Sus scrofa: one gene and its partners. The protein of the gene in region 1 purifies or fractionates together with the protein of each later gene. This does not show direct contact. Links are inferred from orthologs where the notes say so. Each region holds a gene or a part of one and is shown in the gene's direction. Other genes may lie near its edges.

Evidence for each region.
Region 2: the proteins of CRK (region 1) and PEAK1 purify together in Homo sapiens (affinity purification with mass spectrometry; 4 studies listed by BioGRID and IntAct, with this or other methods). This does not show direct contact. The link is inferred for Sus scrofa from reciprocal best matches to the Homo sapiens genes CRK and PEAK1.
Region 3: the proteins of CRK (region 1) and EPS15 purify together in Homo sapiens (affinity purification with mass spectrometry; 3 studies listed by BioGRID and IntAct, with this or other methods). This does not show direct contact. The link is inferred for Sus scrofa from reciprocal best matches to the Homo sapiens genes CRK and EPS15.
Region 4: the proteins of CRK (region 1) and NEDD9 purify together in Homo sapiens (affinity purification with western blotting; 3 studies listed by BioGRID). This does not show direct contact. The link is inferred for Sus scrofa from reciprocal best matches to the Homo sapiens genes CRK and NEDD9.
Region 5: the proteins of CRK (region 1) and EDC4 purify together in Homo sapiens (affinity purification with mass spectrometry; 3 studies listed by BioGRID and IntAct, with this or other methods). This does not show direct contact. The link is inferred for Sus scrofa from reciprocal best matches to the Homo sapiens genes CRK and EDC4.
Region 6: the proteins of CRK (region 1) and MAP4K5 purify together in Homo sapiens (affinity purification with mass spectrometry; 4 studies listed by BioGRID and IntAct, with this or other methods). This does not show direct contact. The link is inferred for Sus scrofa from reciprocal best matches to the Homo sapiens genes CRK and MAP4K5.
Region 7: the proteins of CRK (region 1) and SHC1 purify together in Homo sapiens (affinity purification with western blotting; 3 studies listed by BioGRID and IntAct, with this or other methods). This does not show direct contact. The link is inferred for Sus scrofa from reciprocal best matches to the Homo sapiens genes CRK and SHC1.

What each region holds. Positions count from the first base shown.
Region 1 is NC_010454.4:47,682,397-47,686,427, reverse strand, and holds the start of CRK (adapter molecule crk), read left to right. Parts: upstream 1-1,231; 5' UTR 1,232-1,996; coding exon 1,997-2,063; intron 2,064-4,031. Other genes in the region: uncharacterized protein LOC110255905, read left to right, coding at 520-716. UniProt on the Homo sapiens protein: Involved in cell branching and adhesion mediated by BCAR1-CRK-RAPGEF1 signaling and activation of RAP1.
Region 2 is NC_010449.5:57,441,870-57,445,941, reverse strand, and holds the start of PEAK1 (pseudopodium-enriched atypical kinase 1), read left to right. Parts: upstream 1-1,272; 5' UTR 1,273-1,340; intron 1,341-3,136; exon of another isoform or gene 3,137-4,072. UniProt on the Homo sapiens protein: Probable catalytically inactive kinase. Scaffolding protein that regulates the cytoskeleton to control cell spreading and migration by modulating focal adhesion dynamics. Acts as a scaffold for mediating EGFR signaling.
Region 3 is NC_010448.4:160,652,514-160,656,617, forward strand, and holds the start of EPS15 (epidermal growth factor receptor substrate 15), read left to right. Parts: upstream 1-1,304; 5' UTR 1,305-1,524; coding exon 1,525-1,557; intron 1,558-4,104. UniProt on the Homo sapiens protein: Involved in cell growth regulation. May be involved in the regulation of mitogenic signals and control of cell proliferation. Involved in the internalization of ligand-inducible receptors of the receptor tyrosine kinase (RTK) type, in particular EGFR.
Region 4 is NC_010449.5:8,090,754-8,094,886, reverse strand, and holds the start of NEDD9 (enhancer of filamentation 1), read left to right. Parts: upstream 1-1,333; 5' UTR 1,334-1,510; intron 1,511-4,133. Other genes in the region: TMEM170B (transmembrane protein 170B), read right to left, coding at 350-669. UniProt on the Homo sapiens protein: Scaffolding protein which plays a central coordinating role for tyrosine-kinase-based signaling related to cell adhesion. As a focal adhesion protein, plays a role in embryonic fibroblast migration.
Region 5 is NC_010448.4:28,488,109-28,492,226, forward strand, and holds the start of EDC4 (enhancer of mRNA-decapping protein 4), read left to right. Parts: upstream 1-1,318; 5' UTR 1,319-1,597; coding exon 1,598-1,682; intron 1,683-4,118. UniProt on the Homo sapiens protein: In the process of mRNA degradation, seems to play a role in mRNA decapping. Component of a complex containing DCP2 and DCP1A which functions in decapping of ARE-containing mRNAs. Promotes complex formation between DCP1A and DCP2.
Region 6 is NC_010443.5:180,296,692-180,300,680, reverse strand, and holds the start of MAP4K5 (mitogen-activated protein kinase kinase kinase kinase 5), read left to right. Parts: upstream 1-1,189; 5' UTR 1,190-1,477; intron 1,478-1,687; 5' UTR 1,688-1,796; coding exon 1,797-1,904; intron 1,905-3,989. UniProt on the Homo sapiens protein: May play a role in the response to environmental stress. Appears to act upstream of the JUN N-terminal pathway.
Region 7 is NC_010446.5:94,825,834-94,829,049, forward strand, and holds part of SHC1 (SHC-transforming protein 1), read left to right. Parts: intron 1-159; coding exon 160-286; intron 287-1,831; coding exon 1,832-2,030; intron 2,031-2,119; coding exon 2,120-2,189; intron 2,190-2,268; coding exon 2,269-2,403; intron 2,404-2,856; coding exon 2,857-3,095; intron 3,096-3,216. UniProt on the Homo sapiens protein: Signaling adapter that couples activated growth factor receptors to signaling pathways. Participates in a signaling cascade initiated by activated KIT and KITLG/SCF.

The sequences.
Region 1 (4,031 bases):
GAGATAGCAGTGATCGTGACGGCAGGGAGAGTAGAGGATATCCAAGGCCAGACTTAGAGAATCTGGGCAGATGACTTGAAAGCCTCAACAGAGAGGACTCCATATGTCTCCTTGACTTGGCACACTCTGGTCCCTTTGTCTTGAATGCTTTTCCCCAACTGCCATTCAATATTCAGCTCAAGCCACTGGGAAGTACTCTTGGGTTCCTCTAAAGCATGGATTAGGGGGCCCTGCTCTATGTTCCTAGAGCCCCTTGTCCTTACCCCCATCAAATGGCTTGGCATCCCTTCGTCATGGCCTGTTTCCTGGTTCCTCCCACGGGGTCTGAGAATTCCCCGAGGGAAGGGCCCAGCCTAGATGACCTCTGCGACCGAAAGGCAAACGTGGTGTCAACTGTTTGCTGAATGAATCAGTGAAAACAAGAGCTTAACAGATCTGAAAATATTCAGAAAATATTCGTCTCAGGGAACTCAGGCCCTGAGGCCACATCACCTTTTCTACTCCAATTCTGTCTCCTAGTTGCTGCCCAGAAGCACCGGGCCTTCCAGGAAATTGAAGCCTGGACTAGCCAGAACCGCGTGGCCAACAGCGCACAGACAAACTTCTGCGGACTGCTAGTTGAGGCCCCGCCCCTCGGCCCTAGACGCCGCCTCTCCACTCTCTGCAGTCCCTGTCCCCACCAGGCGGCGACGCCCAAGAGTCCGCATGCGCAGTGAGCGCGCGAGCCGCCCCTTGCCCTTCTCCCAATGGCGGGCGGCAGTCCCCTTCCCGGCATCCTCCCGGAGGCAGGGAGTACGTCATTTCCGGTGGGGAAGGCCCGCGGCCGCCGCCGCCATTTCAGGCGCTGCTGTGAAGCGGAGACCCGAGCCGGTCCGCTGGGCGGCGGGCGCCGGGACTGGAGGGGCGCGCGCGGCGGCGGCGGCCCAGCGTGTAGGCGCGGAGTCGGCCATGGCGGGCAACTTCGACTCGGAGGAGCGGAGTAGCTGGTACTGGGGGCGGCTGAGCCGGCAGGAGGCGGTGGCGCTGTTGCAGGGCCAGCGGCACGGGGTGTTCCTGGTGCGGGACTCGAGCACCAGCCCCGGGGACTATGTGCTCAGCGTCTCCGAGAACTCGCGCGTCTCCCACTACATCATCAACAGCAGCGGCCCGCGCCCGCCAGTGCCACCGTCGCCCGCCCAGCCTCCGCCCGGTGAGGGACGGAAGGGACGGGAGGCCCCGGGCGGGGGTTAGGGCCGCCGAACTCCCCAGCCTAGCCGGCTGCTCCTCGAGAGCTGACCCCCACGAGGGACTTGGGCAGCGGGCTGGAGTGACCGTGGCCGGAGGGCAGCCCGCTGTCCGGCTCGCTCCCACGGACGAGCGGGAGTGTGTGGGGGAGGAGGAGCCGCTGACCCAGGCCTCTGGGTGTGACTTGGGAGGACAGCCCAGGGGAAGGGGAACTGTTTCGGCCCCAGGGTGGGGCTAGCGCCCGTGCAGGGCCAGGCAACGTGGGGACAAAGAGCTGAGGGGGATGTTGGCACTGCGGGGGCATCACTTGGCAGCGGTGCCCGGAATGAATCCGATAATCCTACAAGTGGCTTTTTAGGCTTGAAACATTTCCTGCAGTGTTGGAGAGCCGGGTTTGGCTATACTCCCCTGGTGGCCTTTGGTAGGAAGTCACCGCATACCGGCCGGGAGGGATGGAGACACCCTCAGGAAACCGGTCAGCTTTTTCCTTTCTTGGGCATTTTTCCAAAATACTTTTACCGTCCTCTTCCCCCGCGGAGGACGAAGGTGGTGAGCTAAGTGCCTTGGTTATAGAAGAAAGGTCCCCTGTCACCAGCCCAGAATAAGCTGATGCCCGGCTGACTGTGCCGAGGAGATCCTGGTGTCCAGCGACTGTCTTTGACAATTAAGGGGTTGTAGTTTTCAAAGCGAATAGTGGAGGAAAGAATTTTTTTTTTTTTCAGGAAATAAACCAGATATACGCCAATGGAAACAATCCCTTCCCTGAAAGTGAATGGAACTTCATTTTTCCTTGGACTTCAGCATTGTCAGTCTTATACTGCAGGGTCTCTCCTTGCTCAGTAGGTTGGGGGTTGTTGCCTGAATTTTCCTAGATATGTCTGTCTTATACATAACATGGGCTGTTTGGGGAGTGTGAAGAGGATTTATGCACTTGGTACTTGAAGTTTGTGAGGTACAGAGTAATTCTGAGGCTGTTGTTACCTGTGTAACAGCACCTAGGGTCTTAGTGCCTTTTCACGCTCACCAAGCTGAAGCAGTTTCCTCCTGACCAGTTGAAACTAGATTCAGGCTAGTCTCACATGAATTGAAAGTCTCCTGAACTAGCCCTTTGCAGACTTGCCCTTTTAGAATAATCCTAATTTAGATTTATCCCCTCTGACCCGAAATGGGAAGATGAAATAGTTTCTCTTGTTAACACATACCAATTTTAAAAAGAGTGTGGAATCTTTAAGCCCACAAATTATCCTAGGTCTTTCTCAGTCTGATTGGTTTTATAACATTATAACCTGAGATGGGAATAGGTATGTAACATGTATTTACCCTAAACCGGATGTATTCGAGTTTTTACCACCTTCCTAGTGTCTGGGGTTTTGCGTTGCTGGGCAGTGACACAGCAAATGATCATTGGAACTCAATTCTTGACCTTTTGTTTGTGTATGTGTTTTGTTGGTTACAAAATTTGGAAATGGCAGGCAGTTTTGTTTGAGCTTTCCCCACATCTTGGTGTTAGAACTTTAATCTCAGATCTTACCTTAATACTGAGCTCCACCTTTTCATAACAGATAGGAGGTCAGATCCTTGGCCCAAGAGAGAAGGTGAAGATTGCCAGAGTTTGTGGATGGGGTGTGGAAAGTTCATGGCTATTGTAATTGTTCTTTCCGCCATGTACCCATTTTCCACATAGGGCAATTGATTCAGTTGCGTCTTTTTAAAGATTACTTAATCTTTGTTCTGCCCAGCCCCCATTGAGCTCTTTTTCTTTGGAAACCACACAGAAGAATTTCTTGAACTTAAGCATATACAATATTAATAGCTAACATTTATCGACTGGTCATTCTGTGCCAGGTACTTTGCTGAGTACTTTAGTGCCTTGTCTCGTTTACTGTCTATGACAGTCTAGTGAGGAAATTACTGTGATTTCCATTTATTAAAATATTTACATTTTAGGGAGTTCCAGTTGTGGCTAAGTGGATTACAAACCCTACTGGTATCCATGAGGATGCAAGTTTGATATCTGGCCTTGCTCAGTGGGTTAAGGGTCTGGCTTTGCCATGAGCTGTGGAGTAGGTCTTATTTGTGACTCAGATCCCTAGTTGCAGTGGCTGTGGCATAGGCCAGTGGCTACAGCTCTGATTTGACCCCTAGTCTGGGAACTTCCTATGCTGGGGGTGCAGCCCTAAAAAGCAAACAAAACAAAGCAAAATTCCATTTTGCAGGTAAAGAAACAGGGTCAGAAATTCAGTAACTTGCCCCAGGTCACACAGCTAGTCAATGACTGAGCCGGAATTGGAACCTAGGAATTGTGACCTGAGATCAGACACTATTGGACTGTGTTCTTTTTTTTGTCAAAGCCAGTTTCCTTTTGAGATCCCTTGAGGACTGAACACTTTTGTCATTGTCTTGGGTCCCAGGTTCTGCTTAAAGACCAAAAGGAAAGGATGACAAGAAAATGGCCTTCAAGAGTTCCCGTTGTGGTGCAGTGGTATCTATGAGGATTTGGGTTCAGTCCCTGGCCTTGCTCAGTGAGCTGGGCATCTGGCGTTGCCATGAACTGTGGTGTGGGTCGCAGAGGTGGCTCCGATCCCACGTGGCTGTGGCGTAGGCCGGCAGCTATAGCTCCAATTAGAACCCCTAGCCTGGGAACTTCCATATGCTGCGGTTGCAGCTCTAAAAAGCAAAAAAAAAAAAAAAGAAAAAGAAAGAAAGAAGATGGCATCTGCTGTCTAAAGTCAGTGATGCTGAGGCTTTTAATAACCTTTTTTGGCAGATTGAATGTGGGAAATAAGCTTTTTGTTTAGGATTATATA
Region 2 (4,072 bases), on another chromosome or scaffold:
TGTGTACTAGTTCTGAAAGTTTATGCCTAGTAATATCTTGTATCATGTCAATGTACATTTTAGTCTCTAAAGCAAGTCATGTAGCCAGAACTAAGCTGAAACAGAACAGTAAAGTGCAATTCTGTGAGGTAGGAGGAGAACTGGAACAGCACTAATGCTTAATATCTTATTTAAAAAATGACTCTAATTTTATTGATGAAAGATAATATCTCAGTTTGATTTCTTTTACCAATGTAGATGAAATTTTCATAATTTATTAGCCACTAAAAAATTTAGTCTTTCCTTTCACTTAAGCTTTGTAATAAACATGTGCTATTGGTTTACTTTTACATTTCCAGATTTTTGAATTCTGTTGTCTTTGTGAGGATAGATCATGATGGTGGTATTATAGGGGGTGCAGACCTTTAGAAAATGCCTTTTCTTTTGAAAACTCAAAAGAGGAAAGAAAGATATTTTTCTTGAATCAATCCCCCTCACCCCCGCTAATATAGTGCACATTTTTTTTTTTTTTTTTTTTTTTTTTTTGTCTTTTTGCCATTTCTTGGGCCGCTCCCAGGCATATGGAGGTTCCCAGGCTAGGGGTTGAATTGGAGCTGTAGCTGCCAGCCTACACCAGAGCCAAAGCAATGCAGCATCTGAGCCATGTCTGCGACCCACACCACAGCTCACGGCAATGCCGGATCCCTAACCCACTGAGCAAGGCCAGGGATCGAACCTGCAACCTCATGGTTCCTAGTCGGATTCATTAACCACTGAGCCACTGAGCTCCTATAGTGTATGTTTTGATAAGTTTTTTATTTCAAGAATTGTCAAGAGAGTTCCCATTGTGGTGCAGTGGGTTGGGGCCCAGCATTGTCTCTGTGAGGGTGTGGGTTCGATCCCTGGTCTTGCTCAGTGGGTTATGGATTTGGTGTTGCCACAAGCTGCAGTGTAGGTGGCAGATGCAGCTCGGATCTGGCCTTGCTGTGGCTGTAGCATAGGCCTCAGCTGCAGCTCCAATTCGACTCCTAGCCTGGGAACTTCCATGTGCTGCAGGTGCGACTGTTAAAAAAGGAAAAAAAAGAAAAGAATTGTCAAAATTTTAAATAATTATAGACAATAATTATTGTCTAGCAGAATTAAAATCCTTGCCATTCTACAGGTTTCGCAAAAACAACTTCAATACAAAATTTTAGAAGGTGTAAATGATCAAGTTAGGGTTCTCCTCTTGAGAAAATTAAGTTCCTTTCTCAGGTTTAGTCATATTGACCCTGTCTTTTTCCTTTTTTCAATTCAGGTATCTGCCTAAACTGGAACCTTTGCTGTAGACATTTCTTTGTGGATTTATCTGAAAAACTAAGGTGAGACATTTGGTGAATACATTTGCATTTTAAAATATGTTTTGTAAAAAGAAAAGAATGGATAACAATAAAGATTTTGCAGTAGTAAAGAAAAGATAAATAAAATATGTTTTGCAATAAATAATTGTTTCTGAAAAATGTGAGGCATTAAAAATGTAATGTCTTTTCCTCTGAGAGTGTTAATAGGAGGCAAATATTTATTATAAAGCTACATATATAGCATGCTTACTTAGTTTGTAGGACATTTGAAACAAATGAAGTTGATTCTAGTGATTAAAATAGTTTTGAGTGAATTTTTCCTTTTTTTTATACTCAAAGATAGAGTTTACACTGTTACTCTCTGACACACTTGGAAAAGATACTGGCATTATAATCAGATATTCTTGAAGGCAAACCCTCAATTACTTAAGTCATAGATTACAACTGGTAATTATTTTAATAGTACAGTTATTAAGAGTTTTCTATCACTCTGTTCTCTTGAAGTTGATTATTTTCTATAGTTTCCTCTGTTTGGGGGCTTATAAAGTAAGGATGTATCCTTTTTGTATGTTCGTGTTTTTTTCCTATAGATAGCATTTCACTCTAATGATAGTATTGTAGCCCTGTCCCTCTGCTTGTATGTCTTGGCTCAAGTCTTCTCTACCTCTTAATTTTTTTTAGTGAACCTTTAGAAGTCTGTCATCTGGTCTTTCCATCAGTTTCCACTTTGAGTTCAGCTTTTCTCTAAGCCATTCTTGTCACACTTATGAGGGTGCTTTTTCTTAAAGATAAATGACATAATTTTAGTCCATGACTCAGAATCTTTCAGTACCTTTCCACTGTTTAAAGGATATTTTATAGATTCCTTTACAGAGCAGTATAATCTGTTTTATATTCATTTTTCCATCTCACTAGTGCTCTAGGAATGTTAGGAACTAACATTTAAAAAACAGCTTTACCGAGAAATCATTTACAAACCGTAAAATTCACCCAATTATTTAAATTCAGTGGCTTTTATTATATTTACAGAGTTATGCAGTTATCACCAATTTAATTTTAGAATATTTCATCATGCCAAAGAAACATCAGTGCTTGTTAGCTATTAGTACACATTCCTCCCTGTACTCATTCCTGGTGGCTTATTAATCTACTCTCTCTCTCTATATCTGCCTATTCTGATCATTTCTTATAAATGTGATTGTACAATATGTGGTCTTTTGTGACTTATTCCTTCCTTTTAGCATAAAGTTCATCCATGATTCAGCATGTACCAGTACGTCATTCCTTTTTATGGCTGAATAATACTCCATTTTATGTGTCAGGAGCTCAGCTGAGTTAGAGAGAGAGAGAGGCAGGGGGCAAGGGTAGTGCTGAGCTTCCAGGTGTCAAGGTATCTGATTAAAAACACTGATCCAAATGAGAGTAGCAGTCCAGCCTTTATTCACTTATTGGGATAGTATAAGCAAGAGGCTAAAGATGAGAAAGTGCAGGCCCCCTCACTCAGGTGAATCAGTACCAGGTGGGGAAGGGGGGCTGTCTTACTGCTGAGGGAGGCAGTTTTATGGATCCAGAGCTGGTTGGAGGGAGAGCTGGAAGGGCTTCGAGTGGAAAAGTGCTGAGTTAGAATAGAGAAAAAGTGTCTTTAATGTTTCCTCCCTAATGAGAAGATCCCAGAAGAGGCACCTGAAGAAAGGCCTCAGCTGCAGGTCACAGATAAAGAAACTTCTGAAAGTAGGTACCTGGGCTAGGGATGCAGCTATGCTAAAGAGCATGGTCTGCTGGGAGTGGGGTGGGGGGCTCAGTCCTTGACTGTAACTCTCTTCAGAGACTGCAGTACACTCACTGTGCACCAGTCTGCTGAGGGGAGGGCAGCTTTCCCATATGAGGCCTGCCAGGTAAAGCCTTGGTAGTGGTTTATGGTCAGGTTGGAAAAGTCGCATGTAGATGTCTTGATTAGAAGTTAGACTCCTCGTTTTTCAGGGCTCTTTGCAAGGGTACTGGATGCATAGTTGCAAGAAGGTAGCAGTTGCAGCAGTTGTGTCTAAAGCTTCACGATGTTTCCCTCAGCCAAAAATGCACTAAGTCGTCTTGGAGTTCGAAACATTCAGCAAACAATGGCAAGGCAGAACCACCAGAAGTGGGCACTTGATTTCCATGACAAATATGGTAATGCTGTATTAGCTAGTGGAGCCACTTTCTGTGTTGCTGTATGGGCATATACAGCAACACAAATTGGAATAGAATGGAACCTGTCCCCTATTGGCAGAGTCACCCCAAAGGAATGGAGAGAAGAATAATCATCCCATCTGGTTTAATACTGAATTGTTTCAAAACCACCTCATAATTCATGCCAAGTAAAAGCACTGCGTACCCATTAAAGTATGGCATGATTGAAGAAATAAAGTATATTTGAAACCTTCAAAAAAAAAGGTTAGACTCCTCATTAAACATATACCATATTTTTGCTTATTTCTTCATCAGTTATTGGACATTTATTTAGGTTGTTTCCACATTTCGGCAATTATGAATATTTTGCTGTGACCATTTGTATTTAAGTTTTGTATGTACATATTTTCACTTCTTTTGAGTATATACCTAAGAGAAGAATTGCTGGGTTATTTGATAAATCCATGTTTAACATTTTGAGGTAACTGCCAAACTCTTTTCCAAAGAGACTATCATTTTACATTTACACCAGGATGTGTGAGAATTTGTTTCTCCATATATTCATCAACATTTGTTATTGTCTTCTT
Region 3 (4,104 bases), on another chromosome or scaffold:
GGATCCGGCGTTGCCGTGAGCTGTGGTGTAGGTTGCAGACGCGTCTGGGATCCCATCTTCCTGTGGCTCTGGCGTAGGCCGTTGGCTATAGCTCCCACTGGACCTCTAGCCTGGGAAACTCCATATGCTGCGGGAGCAGCTCAAGAAATAGCAAAACAAACAAACAAAAAGAAAGTATAGGAGTTTCAGTCATGGCTCAGTGAAAAACGAATCTGACTAGTAACCATGAGGGTGCAAGTTTGACCCCTGACCTCGCTCAGCAGATTGAGCATCCAGTTTTGCCGTGAACTGCGGTGTGGTTCGCTGATGCGGCTCGGATCTGGCATTGCTGCAGCTGTGGCATAGGCCGGCAGCTGCAGCTCCGATTTGGCCCCTAGCCTGGGAACCTCCATATGCAGCAGGTGCAGCCCTAAAAAGAGACAAAGAAAGTGTAGTCTGTGTCATGTTTGACTTGGCAGGAATTAAGGCCTTATAATGAACACCTAACACATTCTATGTATCAGAAACAGTCCTTATCATTGAGGCTCCCAGTCGAGAGAGCAGACAGATGGAAACGGTCATCAGGGTGGTGACTTCATAACGTAGAGAAGAAGTGTTAAAAAGAGGAGTGTGTAGCTCCGACTTGCGGAGGTCGGGAGATGCTTTGCGAAGGACAGGACGTGATCCTTGAGTTGTTTCTGGAGAACGTAAGAGGAGTTTGTCAGGTGGACCCGGGGAGGATTTAGGAATGCGGCAGGCACCTGAGCAGCTCCCAGTGCTCATTTATGGAACAATCTGAGTGTGGGAGGCAGCAAGTGGGTCAGGAAAGCATTCTTTCCCCCTCCCAGGTAGACTCTAGCTCCCGGAGGGAATGACTTTAGAGTCTTCTTTGTTGGTATCACACTGTAATAGCAGGTGGTTAAATGAAAAGTTTTGGAGTCAGACGTGGATTCTACTTCACCAGCTATCGAACCAGCTTACGTGTGACACCTATTTGTGTTTCAGTTTCCTCACTTGTGCAATATATTTATGTCTCAGTCCCTTCATTTATACAATTAAAAAATAAAGCGTCTAACATAGATTCTGACATATATAAAGTGCTGTTATTTCTTATAAAGATCTCATTTAATCCTCACAAGCAATCTGGACTTTGGATATAATTTCCCCCTTTTTTCAGAAGCAGAAGCTTAGAGTTGGCAGGTGACTTGCTTAAAGTTCTCGGGACAATGGAGAGCGGCCTCTGCCTCTATCTTCACAGGCCGCCCACCTTCATTTCTTTACGGGCCGGGTTTTCTCCGGCGGCCCCAAGAGTAGGCTCCGGTCCGGTGGCAACAACTCCGGCGCCAGGATTTGGGGGCCGCCGCGGCCTGCGCCGGGCGGGCGGGGCCAGGCGGGGCGGGGCGGGCGAGAGGAGGGAAGTTGTCGAAGTTCGGGGAGACGCCCGCCTGCCCGGGCCTCGCCTCCGGCCGCTCCCTCCGCCTCCTCCTCCCCCGGAGACCCCGTCCGCTCGTCCTTCCTTCTCCTCCCGTGCATGATGGAAACACCATGGCTGCGGCGGCCCAGCTTTCCCTGACACAGGTAACGCGGCCCGCCCGTCCAGTGGGCTGGTCGGCCGGTGTCCCTGGCCCCCTCCCCCACTGCCCTGTGGTTCACCGACCCGGGCAGTTTCTCTCGGGCCCGGGCGGGCGGGCGGGGCGACCGAGACGGAGCGCGCGCGCGCGTGTCTGTGTGTGTGTGTGCGCGCGTGTGTGTGTGCGAGTGTGACGGGGGGAGGGCGCCATCCCGAGCCGGCAGCTTCGCGGCGGCTGCCCAGACCCCGCCCCGGCCAGTTTGCGCCCCGGCGCCGCCCCAGGCGGCGCCCACTCCCCTCGACCCCTCGGTGCCCCTCGCCCCGCTCGGTCGGTGCCCACCTCTCTCACTCCGGTCCGCCTTCACCCACCCAGGAAGTTTCCTCCTTCCAGGCCACACGCTCCCCAGGTGAGCTCCTGTTGAGCTCGCGCGGATCAGCCTCAGCCCCCCCGGCTCAGCCCCGGTCCCTCACGAGGCTCGCCTTCCCGAGCCGGACACCCAGGACCCCTCCGAGCCAGGCTTTCCTTTCTAAACCGGCCTTTTCCTGCTGGAGTCCGGCGATAGCCCTCTCTTCCCCAGTAGTTTCCTTAAGTCAGCTCTCTTCCAAATAAGTCTCATCCCACCGGAGCGCACGCACCCTTGCCCTGCTGGCCCCGTCCTGGGATTCAGCCTCTTCCCCTCCTGATCAGGTTTCGTGCGGCGTCAGATCCCCAGATTCAGTCTTTCCCTCAGTTGTGCTACCACTCCTACTCTGTGGGGTCAACATCGCTGTCCACGCGGATAACAGGGAGTCATCCTTTAACAGGTGTGATGGTTCCTCCAGTCTCGGTGCTGGGAACGACTTGCTCATCCTGGGGGAATCTTCACCAAAACCTGTTTTCAGGGTCTTTTCCTTGCCTTTCTGCTTCCTTCAGAGCCCAGTCCTCGTGCTTCCCGTAAAACTGCTCAACCTCACTCTCCCTGGGAGCCTCGTGCCCCCCTCTCTGTAAAGAAAGCTTGTTGTAATCTTTCCATGATGTACAGGATGATGAGGGGATGTGCACCTGTCAGTCCCTTTCCACTTTTTTGACCAAACCCACCCCAGCCTTACTTTTCAGCCTGCTTTCTCCCGAGTGAGCTGGTGGCTCTGCACCTCTGTGCTGGGGCCCATGCAAGCCTTCCTGCCTGCCCTGTAGTATTTCCCTGCCACCTTGTAGTCTCCTTGGCCTGGATTTGTCAGGGCTTCTAAGGCAAAACACGGGGATAGGTTATACATTTGGGCTGGAGAGTTTTCCGTGTTGGGAGCAAGAGACGTGGGGGCATTTTGCCAAGCATTCTAAGATAGACTGAGTGAAAAATATTCTCCCCAGGAACCAGGAATCACATTGTAAACACGTGCCTCAGGTAAAATAAAAATTAACTTCAGCTTGCAGGAATTATCAGCTTCATAAGTGAAGTGTGTTTATTTCCCACTCTGGTGTTGCTTATCCTATTTTGACAAGCACATAATGGGGAAGAATACTTGGAATGTGGGGATTTTGTCTTGGTGGCAAATCTCTTTGTAAGGGTATTCCTGAAATTTGAGAAATGGCAACATTGACTTTTGAGTGTTCACTTTTTTGGAGTGGGCGCTCACTTTTTAATAGTCTAGTTAGTGATACCCATTAAACAAGATCCTTTAGGCAGGCTGTTGCTGTCTGGCTCTGTTAGCCATTTCCAGCAGGAGTTTTCCTTTCCTGAAGATTTTGTTCTCCTGAGGACTTGTATAGATTTGCTTCCTAGTTTTGTGCTTACTTTATTCTCTTCCTGTAAGACTGTGTTTTTAGTTTCTATTTACTCTCATTCATCTCTGGATATTTTCTTCAGGCTCTGTCAGTTTTATAGACAGTTAAATAATTTAAGTATGTTCTTGCAGTTATATATTTAAATATTAACCTGTACACAGAGTAAATACTGAATCAGGAATATAATCCTTCAGTGTTTCACATATGAGAGAACAAACATTGATGGTTCATTTACATTGAAAATCTAAATAAATCAATTTAGAATATTTTGATTTTAAGACATTAAGAGAGAATAAGATATACTGTAAAGGCTCAGGAAAAAGAACCTTCCCAAATGTTAATATATTTGTTATAATGTGCCTCCTTGTTATTTAAAAACTTGGCTGATTTGTGTTTTTTGATTTTTTTATCTGCTTGAGGCAAATAATCTGAAATAACAATGCAACCTGGTTTCACATTCATTATTGATCTGTTTACTATCACACCAACCCCCACTCCACCCCCAGCACACACAGACATAGGTATGCTTCAGGGCAGGGACTTCTTTCACTTCATCTCTCTCCTTCACTGCCCATCTGGAAGAAAGTGATTAATAGCTGGAAAACCTAAAGGACTCTATGGCAGTTACAAAGATTAAACAGATGCTGGAGTTAGTTTCTGCCTCTAGTTATGAGATAATAATAGTTTTGGAATAAGTTCATTTATTCAGTATTTGTTAAGTTTTTAGTATGTGCTATGCACTCTGCTAGGATTGTCTATAATTTTCTGCCTTCATCAATTAAGCAAAACTGAC
Region 4 (4,133 bases), on another chromosome or scaffold:
GGAGGGATAATTGAAGGCTAACAGTACTCAAGTCTCAGCACTAACTCAATTCTGTGCGTACTACGGAGGCATGGGGGTCGCGGACCCTCCCCATGCAGGGAGCGGAGGCGGCCGTCGTGGATTCTCCCCCGGGAACTCTAGAGCCTCCGGGGGGGAAAGGGGGACCCTGGTTGGCGCCCCCGGAACAGCCGGATCCAATTAACAACATCCTCGCCAGGGGTCGGCACCGCGAACTGCCTAGCGAGCTCACGGGGGTGGGGCGGCGAGGAGCACTTCCCCTCCACCGGAGGGAGAACAGAGGCGAGGGGCGGCACCGCATCCCGGTCCCCATCCCGGGCGCATCAATTACCCGTGAGGTTCCTCAGCACCGTCCCGTGGGCCCAGAGGCTCAGGACCTGCTGCACCGACAGGTTGATCATGGAGTGGTCGCCCCCCTCCGCCTTCATCTTCCCCGAAGGGCGCCCGCCGCCCTCTCCTCGGGCACCGGGCGGCGGCGGCGGCGGCTGCGAGGCTACGGGGGCGGCGGCGTGTGCGCGGCTCCTCCAGGCCGCCGCCGCCGGGGGAGGCTTCGGGGCTCCGGGCTGGGCGCTGCTGCTGCCGCCGATGGGCCTCCGGAGGGGGGTCGCTCAGCGCGTCTCCCAGGCAGCCCCCTCCCCGCCGGGGAGACATTGAGGACGGCGGACGGGGGAGGGGAGGGGGCCGGGCGCTCTCCCGGCGCGGCCTCCGAGCGAGGACTCGGGGCGGTGGAGGCCGCTGTCGCTCCCTCTCAGGGGCAGCACGGCGCCGCGGGGGCCAGTCTGGTGAAGAGGCCGAGGTCACGCCGGGAGGCCCGGGGTGATGGGCAGTCGGCAGGTGCAGCCCCCGATGGAGCCCCGCTCATCACCACCAGAGCAAGAGAAGATCCGGGACTCCGAGAAGACTGCGGCGGCGGCGGCGGCGGCCGCGGGGGCACCTGCCGCCAGCCTGCCCACCCTCCGACCGCCGACACTCGAGGAACCGCCCCCTCCACCCGCGGCCGCCAGCGGGCCGCTCGTGCGCGCGCGCACGGGCCCCCACTTCCCCCTCCCTCCCCGGGGCCGCTGCGCATGCTCACTCTCCCCCTTCCCCTCCCGCGACCCGTCGCCCTCCGACAGCCGGCCGGCTTCAGAGCCCTCCTCCTCCCCCTCCTCCTCCCCGTCCTGGCGCGCGCGAGCTCGCGTGGCTGCTGGTGCCGAGCGTCGGCCCGCAGTGGGGCGGAGGGAAGCTCGGCCTACGTCACTAGCGCCACCGCCGGGCCTCGCTGCTGATTGGGTGCTCCAAGGGAACCACCTCCACGCCCTCCCTCCTGCCCCGCCCCCAGCCCCGGGCGCGCGCCCTGGGAGCGCTGGGAGCGCTGGGTGCGCCCGTGCTGCGCGCTGCTGAAACTCCAGGCTGAGCGGCAGCCCTGACGCAACGAGTTAGCAAAGTCCGTCAGCTGGTTTCTGTGACAGTTCGCATCTTTGGCTCCGAACGAAATCCTTTGGATAAAGAGGTTTGAGTACAACTTTTTTCGAAAGTGAAATTTAAACCCAACGTTTTAGGCTTATCAGTTTGCGAGCTGTTGAGGTTTTTTCGGGTTTTGTTTTGGGTTTTTTTTTTTTTTTTTTTTTTTTTTTTTGAGTCAGGAGCCCTGGGTAGGATAGGTCACTACTTGTGAAAGCCATTAACAGAAACAGACCAGGTCCATCCTTCGTCCAGTCCTTCCCACACCAGGAACTTGGGCCTCGAGTGGTTCCAGCATCTGAAATTACCTGTAGACACACGGCTGGGCAGGTGTCCTACACCCCAGTGCCATCCCGGGTCTGTCTCTTTTTATCAAAATGTAAAAGTCTCCGTTATTTCTTTTCCTCCCTCCAACGTAAACTAGGTCTCGTCCCATGGTTTTTGCTCCCTTTCTTCATGTCCACCGTTAGCCCGACGAGCTGTCCAAAATACTGCAACTCCTTGACATTTGGAACCTTTTATCTTAAAAAAATAAGACTGCAAGTCCTGGTAATAACAAAATATGCACTGGTCAGCCCCCGCCCCTCACCCCCGTCCTTTTTCAATCCCTTTACCATCTGAAAAGAAAGTCTACAAAGGGTGCTGAAGTTCCTGCTGTAGCGAAATCATCAGCTACATTTGGCAAAACGTAGAAGGGTTGAATCACTTGTAAAACGGTGTTCTTGGCGACGACTTTAAAAAGAATTATATATACGCATTTATACATGTGTGTATTTACATATGTATGTATGTGTCGACTGAAAAAAAAAAAACGTGCAGTGGAAGTGTCCTGAGTTAAGTTTTATTAGGGGCAAAAAGGAGGACTAGAGCCCGGGAGGCAGCCTCTGGGATGGCTCTGAGGAACTGCTCCCAAGAGGTGAGGGGGGAGGCCAGCATCTCTGTGATTTTGCTGGAGGGGCTGCATGGGCTCAGGCGCATGTTTGGGCAGAGGGTTACTGCTTGGTCACAAGATTGCTGCTGGTCAGGAGGAGCAGCTGTCTTTGTTAATTATTTTAGTGCTTTTCTAGATGGAAGATGCAAGAGGCTGGGGGGGAGGGTCATAAAATCTCCTAAAAATATCTAACTATCCGAGGGCCTGTTCTGCCAGTTTATTCCCAAAGGACAGAGTGCCTCATTCCTTATCTCCACCCAGAACTTCTTGCAGGGCGTGTGGAAGGTCAGCGGCTGCGGTGGCTGGTGATTTCGTTTCTTACAGAACCAGATGGCAAGAGATGTTTTTTTCATTGGCACATGTATTGTCTGTTTGATGTCACAGCACAAGAGAAAAAGGGAAATTTTGCATCATTCATAGGAACGGAGCCAAAACTCGAAATGTGGTGGTGTTTATGTTCTTCTGAGGATTTAGAACTAATCAGATCTTAATTTAAGATTGTAAAATATCGGACTTAGAAGAGGCTTTACTGTTTTTCTACTTCATAGTATTTTACAGATGGGGGGGGAAACAGATTCTGGGGAATTTAGTGATGTGACAGAGGTGACACCACTTCAGAGCCCAGTTTCTGAATTCCTAGTCTTATTAATTCTTTCTAGCAACCACATCATCTTCTTAAGTCACAGTCAACCCCATACTTTTAAGAAAGGTTCTGGATGGGCAGATGCAGGTTACCTAAACATTGCCAATAAGAGATTTGGTATTACATGGCTAGTGATATTGGAGAATGTGACTACCTTCAGTGAAGGATAAACCTCGGAACAGCAGCTCATTCAGCGTGCACATCAGGAGCTTTTAGTTGACGTGGAGTCATTGGGGCTCTTATTATTGCTCACTATTATTTGAAACAGGGTCGCATACTTTTAATATATTCAGAACCTGGGACAGTGCCTAGCACGTGGTGTTCAACAAATATTTGCTGAATGAATCATTGAATCAACGTCAGAGAAAGGTCAGCATTTTTATTGTTTCACATAAAGTTTTTTTTAATGGAACTTAAGTGTTGATTTTAAGAAATGAGAAAGTAAGACACAGCAAGGAAGCCCCAAAACTATAATGCACTTGATAAGCAGACAGTTTTTCCCCTGCTTTTCAGTTCAGTTCAGTTTATTTATTTGGCATCTGTTATCGGTGATAATGTTCTATGCTAGACCTTATCTATAGGATTTGGAGATTCATAAGGTCTCTACCCTTTAGACTGACACCTTACATTTAACTTGTGCTCGCCCTGGTAAAGCTCATGATACCCATCACGATAAAGCAGAGAAACAACATGTGTCTTATTTCGTCTCCCCAGTAAGATATGGCACCCCTAGGGTGTCAGGCCCCCATTATGGGGCTGCTGAGGGATCTAGGCCTGCCCAGAAAAGGGCAGAGAGCTGCTCCGTATTGGCAGTGGGATGTGACCTCCATCCAGAGTCGTGGAGGGTCTGACACGAAAGGACAGACAGGTACATTTTCCACCTTATTCTGTGCCCTCCCTCCACCCCTGCCTACAAACCACCTACCTTCCAGTTTCTGCTACCTACTGCTCCCACCCCCATGTAGGTCCTTGTTTATTATCCTATCTTCAAAAGAAAGAAAACATGACATTTGAACTCAAGAATTTACACTTTGAAGCCTGAAAGTCAGTATAAAGAAAAAGACTGTTAAAAATCACACACACACACACACACACACA
Region 5 (4,118 bases), on another chromosome or scaffold:
AGTCCCTTTCGACTGAGGGCTCAGCAAGACCAAGTGAGCAGAGGTTTGAGGGATGAGGGGCCTGTTTTATCTACAGAAGAGTCAGGATCACATCTAGTGTGCCCCATAAATCCCAGGCCAAGCAGAGGGCAGCCTAGATGCTGTACCAGCTGCTTTGGATATCATTGCCCAAAGGGGAGTGCCTTGAATAGCCAGCCTCCAATGCCCACAGATCCAGGCCTAGTTGAGTTGGAGTATAGATTTAGAGCTGTAAAAGAACGCAATCTGAGTTTGAGTGATTCAGGTTCTAGGATTTCTCACCTCTGAGACCTCTGCAAGGCATCTCTAGGCCTCTTCCTAGTCCTTCCCTTACCACACACCCACCCACCCCTTCACATTATCTTCAAATCCCAAGAAATCTCTAATACTGAGGCAGTTTCTGCTCCTCAGTTTGGGGAACAGGACTTGCCTAATACAAATCTGGCCCTTTAGCCCTGAGGCCTTGGTGGTGTAAAACTGGTAGCAGGGTAGCAACCACAGGCTAGGACCAATCCAAGGACTTGGGCTGGTGTCCTGTAGGGGTTTTAGGATTGGTGAGGGCACCACAGCTTTGCTTGACCTTGAACACCACCTCCCTCCCTCCTGCACTCTGGATGGAAGCCAAGGACTTAACTCAGACCCCCACTTGTTGCCTGGCTACCCTGGGCACAGAGCTGGATGGTGTGCTGTTTGGAAAGACAGCATACTCAGGAGATTTCAGTGAGACGGATTTCTAGGCTGCTGTGTTATTTGGGGGGTGGAGGAGGTTGGGGAGAGGCAGAAACCTGCTGCCTCTTAAACCACCCTGTATAAAATCGGCAATACAGCTTCTTCCATGTACCTGTGCCTGAAATGTCTGCAATAAAGAGGTGTTTATATTACTATGGTTTACTTTCTTTTTGCCCAAGGGTGCCAAGACATGCAGGGGGATGCTGGGGGACATTAAGGAGTGATGTGATGTTTGTGGAGACAATCTCCCCTGCCCATGCAATTCCTGGGTCCAGGATTTCTCAGATCCCGTCAGGCCTTGGGTTACAACCACACGCTTCCTGAAGGGGAAACCGAGGCTTCTGTCAATCCAACTTGTTCCTGGGGCATCTGAGTGATTCACCTTGGCAACCGAATTGACTTGGTCCTAGGCCCATAGGGAGTGGATTTGGACCAGGTGGGATATCCTGAGGCGATCAGAGCTTTGGGCGGTCCGGTAGCTGGACATTTTGCTCTCCTTCAGCCCTGCGGAACTCCTCCCCCTCACCCCGACCCTATTAGTCCCGGGGCGGGACCGCGGTAGGGACGGGCTTCAGGAGGGTGCGTGGCGGCCACCCCCAGCCCGGAACCTTTCTTCTCCGCCCAGGGCAGGTTCCGGGAGCCGAAGCTCGGGCGGGCCGGAAGTGGAGGCGGTTGGTGGGGTTGGCGGGGCTCAGGGACGCGGCGCGGGCGGCGGTTTGCGAGCTTCAGGTGGACGGAGTGTGGTGACTGGCGTCCCACTGTCTGGCCCTGGCTGGGTTGTGCGCCCCTGGACGGTGCGCGGCGTCGGCGGAACGAACGCGGTGCGGACCGGGCGTCCGCGGCTGGGCCCATGGCCTCCTCCTGCGCGAGCATCGACATCGAGGACGCCACGCAGCACCTGCGGGACATCCTCAAGCTGGACCGGCCCGCGGGGGGTGAGCTGGGAGAGTGGGGGTGGGCCCTCGGCGACCAAGCAGAAGGGCGGCGCGAGCCTCGACCACCTTCATGGCCCAAGGGTCCTTGAGGACCGGCTCTTCATCCTTTCTGCCGGCGAGGGCGACGAGGGTGGGAGCGGCACATCCCTGAGCGTGCTTCCCAAAGGGCGCAGACCCCCGTGTGCAATCCTTCCCTGTCCCGGAGTCCGGCCGTTCTGCCTCGTCCTTCAGCGTTTTGGCTGAAAGTGAGGCCCCTTCTCTGAATCCGCAGAGCCCCTTAGGTCTCCTGGCCCCAGGGTCTCTAGTGTTCTTGGGACTGGTCCGGGTTTCCTACCCTTTTTGCCCTAGTTCAGACGCTTAGTCTGGGCTCTGTATGCCAAATTCTGGGTCTAGATTTAGGCGCTTATGCTGAGGAGCCGCTGATCCCCCTCTGCACCTTGCCCTTCCTTCTTGAACAGACTCCAGGCCTGAAACCCATTTTCAGGAGGAAGGTGACCAACCCCAGTTCTGTGTCCTCTCTGGCGTTAAGATATATCACCGAGCTCACAATCCTGATTGGATTAGGCTACAAAGATCTGCAAGCCCCAGTTTATTTCCATTCATTTAAACTTTGCAGTGGTGCTTCACAGCTGCTCCTGCCCTCAGTGAGCCCCCTGGACACAAGAGCTAATGAGGTGTAATATAATGCTCTTGTCTCTGAAAGAAGGGTTTTGGGACTGTGATGGGGAGACGGTAGGTGGAGAGGGGGCTGGAAAGTGCCTAAGAACAGATCTGAGAGAGGAGACAATGTTTAGGCTAAGTCTTGCATCTTGGACAGAGGCTTGGATGTCAGAAAAAACATTCTACAAAGAGGAAATGACACGTGTGACTACCAAAGTTGCCTGGCAGGTTCAGGGGCCTGTGAAAAGCTGTAGTGGTCGAGAAACTGGTAGGTGATGGTGATGTGGATGGGCAGTGGCCAGAGCTGAGAATTGGTGTGTCTTCAGATCCTGTTCTTAAACCTGCTGGAAGGCCCAAACTGACTCCTTTTGGAAGCATGCACTGGTGCCCAGTCTTGGATTTAAGGACCTTTCCCTCCTATAGAAAATCCACATGCTGCCTACCACTGAGTCCTTTTCCCCAGGCCTGGAGTGCCTGCTGCCTTTACTCATAAGCTTGGCTTGGGCCTCTCATGTCAGCTGCTGTGCAGACTGGTCTCCCCAAAGGTTTGGTAGAGCCTGGTGTGGGTAATGCTGTGTAGTTTGTTTGTTTGTCCTCATGGTAGCCTGCTTGGGAGGCAAAGTGGTCAGCTTACCCTGAGCAGCTAAGGTGGCTCTAATGTAAGTGAAGAGGCCTGTGGGCTTTCCTCTTAACTCCTTGTTTATTGATTGGTACTTGATTTCCCACTTTGCCAAGTTACCCTTGCTTGTCTCTACTCACTGGAGAACCATGTCAGACCCCAGGCTCTTTTGTGATGAAAAACTTGCCATATTCCTGAATAGAAAGCCCTAGTCTCTTTGCCACCTGGGAGTTTTGGAGGGGTGTCAGAACCTATGCGGGTACTTGAATCAGTCAATGGCAGACAACTGAAATGCTGTCTCTCCTGACTCACACCCTACCCCATAATTTCTCTCCTCTTTGTCCAGCTCCTTCATGTCCATTCCTCTAGGGTGGGTTCTTCTGAGCCATTTCTGTGTGAGGCAGTCTCCTTCCTTTCTTATTCTCACGTCTTATCATGTCTTTCCATGCCTTAGGAGCCCAGCCCCTCTTCTCCAGCCCCTCCTCTACTTTGGTCTAAGCCCTGGTACCTCTCACCTGAATTCTCAACTCTCCTGCATGCTACTTTAGAGCAGTCAATCCTCTGGCATAGCAGACCAATTCACTTACCCATTTAAAACTCTTATGGCTCTTATTACTACAGGAAAATCTAAGCAACCAGCCTCATACATGAGACCTCTGTAGCCTTGTTTTCCCTCCATCCTTCCCATCTTTGTGTGTTATTGCCACATTGGCTCTGGAGTTCCCATTGTGGCACAGTGGGATTGGTGGTGTCTCTGAAGCGCTGGGATGCAAGTTTGATTCCCCAGCCCAGGACAGTGGGTTAAGGATCCGGCATTGCCACAGCTGCAGTGTAGGTCACAACTGTAGCTCAGGTCTGAACCCTGGCCCCAGGAACTCCATATGCCTTGGGGCAGCCAAAAAAGAAAAAGAAAATAAGTAAATAAATCACGCACTAGCTCTGATGGCACCTCTTCTGTAAAGTCTGTCCTGACCCTTCCTTTGCCCTCCCTCAAGTACATAGAGTCCCTCTATGCTGACCCAGGGCTGCGTATTAATTGGCCTTAAAGAGGCCATGATAACTTGAGGACTTATACTCCTCCCCTAGATAGAAAAGCCCCATGCTCATCCTTGGTCCTAGCATACATCGGGTTCACCATCAGTGTTTATGGAATAAGA
Region 6 (3,989 bases), on another chromosome or scaffold:
TCTGAGCTTACTTATGTTCCCTAAATAAGTGCTCTTTGTGCATGGAACACAAAAAAATACATATATTCCCTGTACAGCTAAGGTGTGAAGTTAATTTGTACATTACCAAACTGATTACAATGATCAACAATAAGGGATATATTGCCCGAGAATGGAATGAATTGGATGTTCAAAGCTACAGGCCAGCATCTGTGACTTGCTCTTTTGTGATTTTTCAGTCACTAAATGGATTGGTCAAGTGTTAGCTGAATTTTTTTGTTCAAAACCTTCATTGGGCTCTACAAACAAAATCAATCTGGCAACCTTATTTCTACCTTGGAACAAGACTGGAAGTGAAACTACAAAACAGCTTGTGAAATATTCAGCCAAATTACTTCCCTAAACTCCTGTTTCATATTCTGTGCATTGTGAAGTATGTTAAAAAGCCTTTTATATTTGATAACGCCCTTTACAATCTTGTAAAATGCCTTATAAACACTTTCTCAGGTGTCGGATGCAAAACCCTACCCTCTTCAAGCTGCAGATAAGGATGTGGAGATATTGCCAAATAGGATGTCTTTTTTGTCCCAGATCACATACTGAGTAAGTGGTAGAGTCAGAACCAGGTTGTGGTCCCTGATTTTCAGCTGCTGCAGAACTCCCGACCCAATTAAAGGAACAATACCTGCGCTGAGACACTGCGTGTGCCCAACAGGGATAAGAACCACATAGACTTCCTAGGAATTCCGACTTTCGGAAATGTCTTGGGAAAACTTAGTGGAAGACAGGTTGCGCAGGTGTGCAGTGCAGCCTCAAACTGGTACCACTGGGAATGGTTTGCAAAACAGGAAGGTGCAGTTGGGTGTGCCGCGACTTAGTTAATCTGGCACTCCCCCACCTCCCTCCCGGGCGCCCCATTGCCAGATTACTTCTGGCTCAGTGCCCTCAACGAACCATTTTCTCAACTGGGAGGGCTGCGTTCCCATCGCCCTCGTGCCCACCCTACTACTCTACCCGCCACCCTCCAGGTTTACCTGACAAAGCTGGGAGCGGTTTAGCGGAGGCGCGTCAGCCCAAGAATGCCCGGGGGCGTCCGTGACCCCCAGAGTGGGGAGCAGAGCCCGGCTCAGGAAAGGACGCTCCGGGCCAGGGGGGCGCGGCGGCCCGGCCGGGAGAGTGTCGTGTCCCGAGCAGGCCTCAGGGCGGCACTCTGGTCTCGCGGCCGGCGCGCTCGGGCGGGACGCTGGGCGCCGACCCACGCTGGCCGGGAACGTGTCTCCCGGTGACGCAGCCCCGGGTGGGGAACGTGGTGCGGCGGCGGCGGCGACGGTACGCGCCTCCGCCGCCCGCGAGAGGACGTGCGGTGCAGCGAAAGGCAGCGGCGGCAGCACAGCTGGACTTGGAGGGCCGGCGGGCGCCGGGAATCAAGACGCAGGCGCCGGCGGGGAAGTAGGTCCTGGGCGCGGCGCTCAACAAAGAGCGGGGCCGCCCCCCTCAGGTACCGAGCCGGCCCCGGGCCCCGGCGGGCGGGCAGAATCCGGCCCGACAGTTCGCGGGCGGTCAGGGAGGGGGAAGGGCCGCGGCCGGAACACGGCAGCGGCGGGGCGCTGGGGACCCCTTCCAGGCCCGCTGGTAGCGGCTCCCGCTGGGGCGGAAAGGACGGGACTGGGCCGCTCGGGGTTGCAGCCTCTGCTCGTCCCTCGTGCAGGCGGAGCTGCGGGCAGAGGCTCCATGTTGGGAAGCGGCGCCGCTCGTCCTCGTTAGCGGGAATCGGGGCGCCGCGGGCACAGCCGGCGGGGGCCGGGCCCTGAACGAAGATGGAGGCCCCTCTGCGGCCTGCCGCGGACATCCTGAGGCGGAACCCGCAGCAAGACTACGAGCTCGTTCAGAGGGTCGGCAGCGGCACCTACGGGGACGTCTATAAGGTGAGGCAGGCCAGGCTCTTTTCCTGCGGTCCGCTGGCTCCCGGGAATAGGGCCACTTTCTGAGGAAGTGTGAGAAGGAAGGAGGATGCTTTTGTTGTTGCATCTTGGAGATGCCGCGGCCGGGTCCCATTTACTCCATTCGGAGCGCCTTCTAATCCATGCTTGCACTGATCGCTCCAACAAGCAGAACTAACTACACCTTTGCGAACCACCGTTGTACTTTTTTTGTGCGTGTGTGTGGTATAAAGGCTTTTTAATGCTTATTTATGGTATCCAAGAAAGTTCGAATCTGCTTATGGAGTTGCGCTTGAGGATATTCTTGTCTTAACATGGAAAAAATGCTTCCTGGAAGACAGTAGACAAGGAAATATATTGACGTTCTCACATTTTCACAAAAAACTTTTTGATGGATGATGCTGTTTTAAAAAGTCCTTTGAAACCCCAGTCTCTCAATTTTAACTGTAAGTAGTCTAATGCTGGGTCAAAGTGATGTGTGCACAAACATTATCCTATGCAGAACAATGCTTTTCCTGGTAGAAGTTTTGGCATTTGTATCTGATGATGATTTTCTAATTCTTCTTTGGCAATTCCTCTCTCTGGGATTGATAACATCCCATGACCCAGAATAGTTAAGAGCAGCTGTCTTTTTAATTGTGCTCTTTTGCTTTATTTGAGACAAATGATGGGAATGAGTTACTCTTAGTTTGAAAAAAAAAAAAAAAAAAAGTCACAGGCAAGCAAACCCAGTTCCCGAAATCCACCGAGTTCTTGAAGGATCAAGAGGAAAGAGATTGTTTCAGATTGCCTTATGCTTTTTTGTTCTCTGTTCCAAAAAGGGAGCATTAATGTAACTCATATGGGTATGTTAAGGGAACTTGCCTTTGATTTTGCAAAAGCTTTGTTTATTGTATTTGATCATGTCATGTATCCCATTATTCTAAACAACACTCCTGCATATAGCTGAAATAGCCTTGGGTAATTAACCAGAACACTCCTCTGGGGTATGTTGTTTTTGTACAGGTGGTAATATGGAAGGAAAATATCCCTTCTTCCTAACTTCTATTTTTAATATCCTCTCTGTTAATAGTAACAATTCAAGGTTGGGTTATGACAGCTCTAGCACTGTTTGAGTCTGTTGAGATGCACTGTAATGGATAGGCTTTTTATCCTTTAAAACAGCATTTGAATCTTCTGTACTAGACACTGTTCTAGTATGGGATGCTGAATTGTGAGAGGAAGGTTCCAGTTTTTGCCGTGTGAATAATTTTAATTCAGAGTGGGTAATTACAATAATCTTCTTTATATAAAATTAGAGGTAGTTAACTCTTACTTGTTTATCCATGGATTAGTCATTTTGTGGAATGCTCTTTAAAAAATTGAAATTCCTGTCTGCTTTCTCAGTCCCACTTTTTAGTCATCTTCGTCTTATGATTCACTATGTGTTAGACTGGCTCAATTCATTTCATGTTAATAACATAATAGTCTGAATTTTAGTTCTTGTATTTTTCTCTCCTCCCCACTGCAAGAAAATTTAAAGTGTTTTCTCCATAAAAATCCCAAGAACTCCACCTTTTTTCTTTATAAATATAATAACTGAAGCAAGTGTCTGGAGCAGGGTTTTATTCTTTCACAGAAAGCAAAGGGTTATATTAAAGGGGCAGCTAATGCTTGCCTTTTACTCTGGTGCCTCCCTGCCCTATCTTTTCTCTTTCATAGCTCCTTCACCGAGGATCAAAGACTAAATATTTATCATACACCACTATCACCCATCCCCAGACAGTTCCCTTCCCTCATATTCATGCTTCCTCACATTTACTTGTATACTCATTCCACACCAGAACAGCTTCTGATTCCTAAACATTCTCAAAACTCTGGTCCCTTGTCTTCCGTTTTCCTTTGTTCTAATTACCTAGAATCACCTCCTACTCCCATTTCCAACTGTTGCTATCTTTCCTGTCCAGGAAAGCCTTACTCAAGTGCTCCTCTGGGAGGCCCCAGCCTCTCTCCTTTTCTCTCCTACCTCATTTACTGCTGTTCCCCCTCCTTCATTCTCTTCTACCCACACTGGTCTGCTTGCTCTTCCTT
Region 7 (3,216 bases), on another chromosome or scaffold:
TGGGGAGCGCTGGGTGGGGCCGGCTGTCAGAGAGACAGGTGAGCAGGACCCGGGAGCTCAGCAGGGGCTCCTGCTGCGGAGAATGAGGGCGAGGGCCCCGTCTGTGCGTGCCCCCCGCCTTCCCCCCGAGTTCCCTGACAGCCTCTGCTGTGCCCCCAGCCTGCCACATCCTGGAGTGTCCCGAAGGGCTTGCTCAGGACGTCATCAGCACCATTGGCCAGGCCTTTGAGTTGCGCTTCAAACAATACCTCAGGAACCCGCCCAAGCTGGTCACCCCTCATGACAGGTGAGCAGGCGAGCGGTGGGGGGGGGCAGCTCTCGGGCTGGGACCGGAATTGGAAAAGTAGGTCTGCTCTTCCCACGCTTGAGCTCAGAGAGGAGCAGGGAAGGAAATAACCTGTGAGCCCCTGCTTCCCACTTCCTGCTATTCTTACGTTTCCTGAGGCCATGGGGAAGGCCTTTCGAGGCCCTGCCTGCTGCCAGGCCAGCTCTTCCTCTCGGGTGCCCGTGCTGGAGCTGTAGTCCAGGGCCGCCCGCTCCAGCTCTTCCTGGCTGGATGGGCTTTCCTAGTCCCAGCCATCTCTTTCTGGCCTGTCCCTCTCTCTTGCCCATTTCTCCATATTTAGTGCCTTCTTGCCCCTAGAAGCCATCAAGAATTTGGGCGAGGGAGCATGGCTCTTTCCTGAGATCCTTACCTCTCCCACTTCAGACCAGCAGTGTTGAGAATTTAGGGGAGGTTAAAATATTCCAGAGGGAGATTCTGTTGTGGCTCAGCGGTAACAAACCCGACTAGTATCCATGAGGATTCAGGTTCAGTCCCTGGCCTCTGTCTCTGGGTTAAGGATCCGGCGTTGCCGTGAGCTGCGGGGTAGGTCATGGCTTGGATCTGGCATTGCTATGGCTGTGGTGTAGACCGGCAGCTCCAGGTGCAATTTGACCCCTAGCTTGGGAACCTCCATATGCTGTAGGTGGAGCACCCCAAATAGTGGTGCTGCTTCCCCTCCCTCTTGGGAGACAGCATAACGATCGAGGGCATGCCTCTAAAGTCAAATTTGAACTTATGTCTCTCAGATTCACCACTTTTTATTTTATTTTTTAATTTTTTAAATTATTTATTTATTTAGTCTTTTGAGGGCCACACCTGTGGCATATGGAGGTTCCCAGGCTAGGGGTAGCATCAGAGCTGTAGCTGCCGGCCTGCGCCACAACCACAGCAACACTGGATCCTTAGCCCGCTGATCGAGGGCAGGGATCAAACCTGCATCCTCATGGATACTAGTCGGGTTCGTTCCCACTGAGCCACGACAGGAACTCCTTCACCACTTTTTTTTTGTTTGTTTGTTTGTTTTAGGGCCACACCCATGGCAGATGGAGGTTCCCAGGCTAGGGGTCTCATTGGAGCTGTTGCTGCCAGCCTACGGCCACAGCCACAGCATCGCAGGATCCGAGCCTCGTCTGTGACCTATACCACAGCTCACGGCAACACCGGATCCTTAACCGACTAAGCGAGGCCAGGGGTCGAACCGGCAACCTCATGGTTCCTAGTCGGGTTCGTTTCCACTGCACCACGACAGGAACTCCCTTCACCAATTTTTAGTTGGGAGACCAGGGTAAATCTTTTCACCCCCGACCCTCCCTCATTTTCCTCATCTACAAAATCGGAGAAGGAAATGAAACCTACCTTCTAGGGTTGCCAGGAGGAGGACATGATTCCATATATAAAACACCCCACGTCAAGCCTGCCCCTCAGGGATTGCGCAGTCCATGGCCGCTGTTCTCTTCTCCCTCCGTCCTCCCTCCCACGTGCCTCTCTCCTTCCTGTCCCTCCCAGGATGGCTGGCTTCGATGGCTCAGCTTGGGATGAGGAGGAGGAAGAGCCGCCTGACCATCAGTACTATAATGACTTTCCGGGGAAGGAGCCCCCTCTTGGGGGGGTAGTGGACATGAGGCTTCGGGAAGGAGTGCCCCCAGGGGCTGCTCGACCCACTCCCCCCAGCGCCCAGACCCCCAGCCACCTGGGAGCCACACTGGTGAGTTGCTTGGGGGGGAAGTGGGCTGGGCCCAGGACGGGAGTGGCTGGTTAGGGCCTCTGGCCTCACCTGATTTTTTGTCCCTTCAGCCTGTGGGGCAGCCTCCTGGGGGCGACCCAGAAGCCCGCAAACAGATGCTGCCGCCTCCACCCTGCCCAGGTAGGAAGGGGGCTGAGAGGGGCAGAGCCGGGGTGTGCGAAGCAGGGCGGGGGTCGCTGTAAAGCCTCCCTTTCTTCAGCAGGCAGAGAGCTCTTTGATGATCCCTCTTATGTCAACGTCCAGAACCTAGACAAGGCCCGGCAAGCAGGGGCCGGGGCCGGGCCCCCCAATCCTACTATCAATGGCAGTGCACCCCGAGACCTCTTTGACATGAGTAAGTGCGCCTCTGTCTTTCCTGCACCTGCCTCTTCCCGCTGGGTTCCTCTTCTTCTTTTTTTTTTTTTTTTTTTTTTTTTTTTTGTCTTTTTGCCATTTCTTGGGCCACTCCTATGGCATATGGAGGTTCCCAGGCTAGGGGTGGAATCGGAGCTGTAGCTGCCAGCCTACGCCAGAGCTACAACACCAGATCCAAGCCGCGTCTGTAACGTATACCACAGCTGACGGCAATGCCAGATCCTTAACCCACTGAGCAAGGCCAGGGATCGAACCCGCAACCTCATGGTTCCTAGTCGGATTCGTTAACCACTGAGCCATGACGGGAATTCCTGGGTTCCTCTTCTTTTCCTGCTTATCTGCTCTTTCCTTCCTGGCTTCCCCTCCCTGAAGGTCTGGGCCCTGGGCATGTGTCGTGCCAGCCCCCCTCCTAGCCCTCTCTCTGCACCCCCAGAGCCCTTCGAAGATGCCCTTCGGGTGCCTCCACCTCCCCAGTCGGTGGCCATGGCCGAGCAGCTCCGAGGGGAGCCCTGGTTCCACGGGAAGCTGAGCCGGCGCGAGGCCGAGGCACTGCTGCAGCTCAACGGGGACTTCCTGGTGCGGGAAAGCACGACCACACCTGGCCAGTACGTGCTGACCGGCTTGCAGAGTGGGCAGCCCAAGCACCTGCTCCTGGTGGACCCTGAGGGTGTGGTGAGTGTGGCAGAGGCATGGGTGGCGTGGCAGGAAGGACGGTGCAGCACCCTCCCGGGCAGCCCTGTTCTTGCCCTCACTGCTTCCTAGACTTGGCCCGACGGGCACCTCTGTCTGGGCC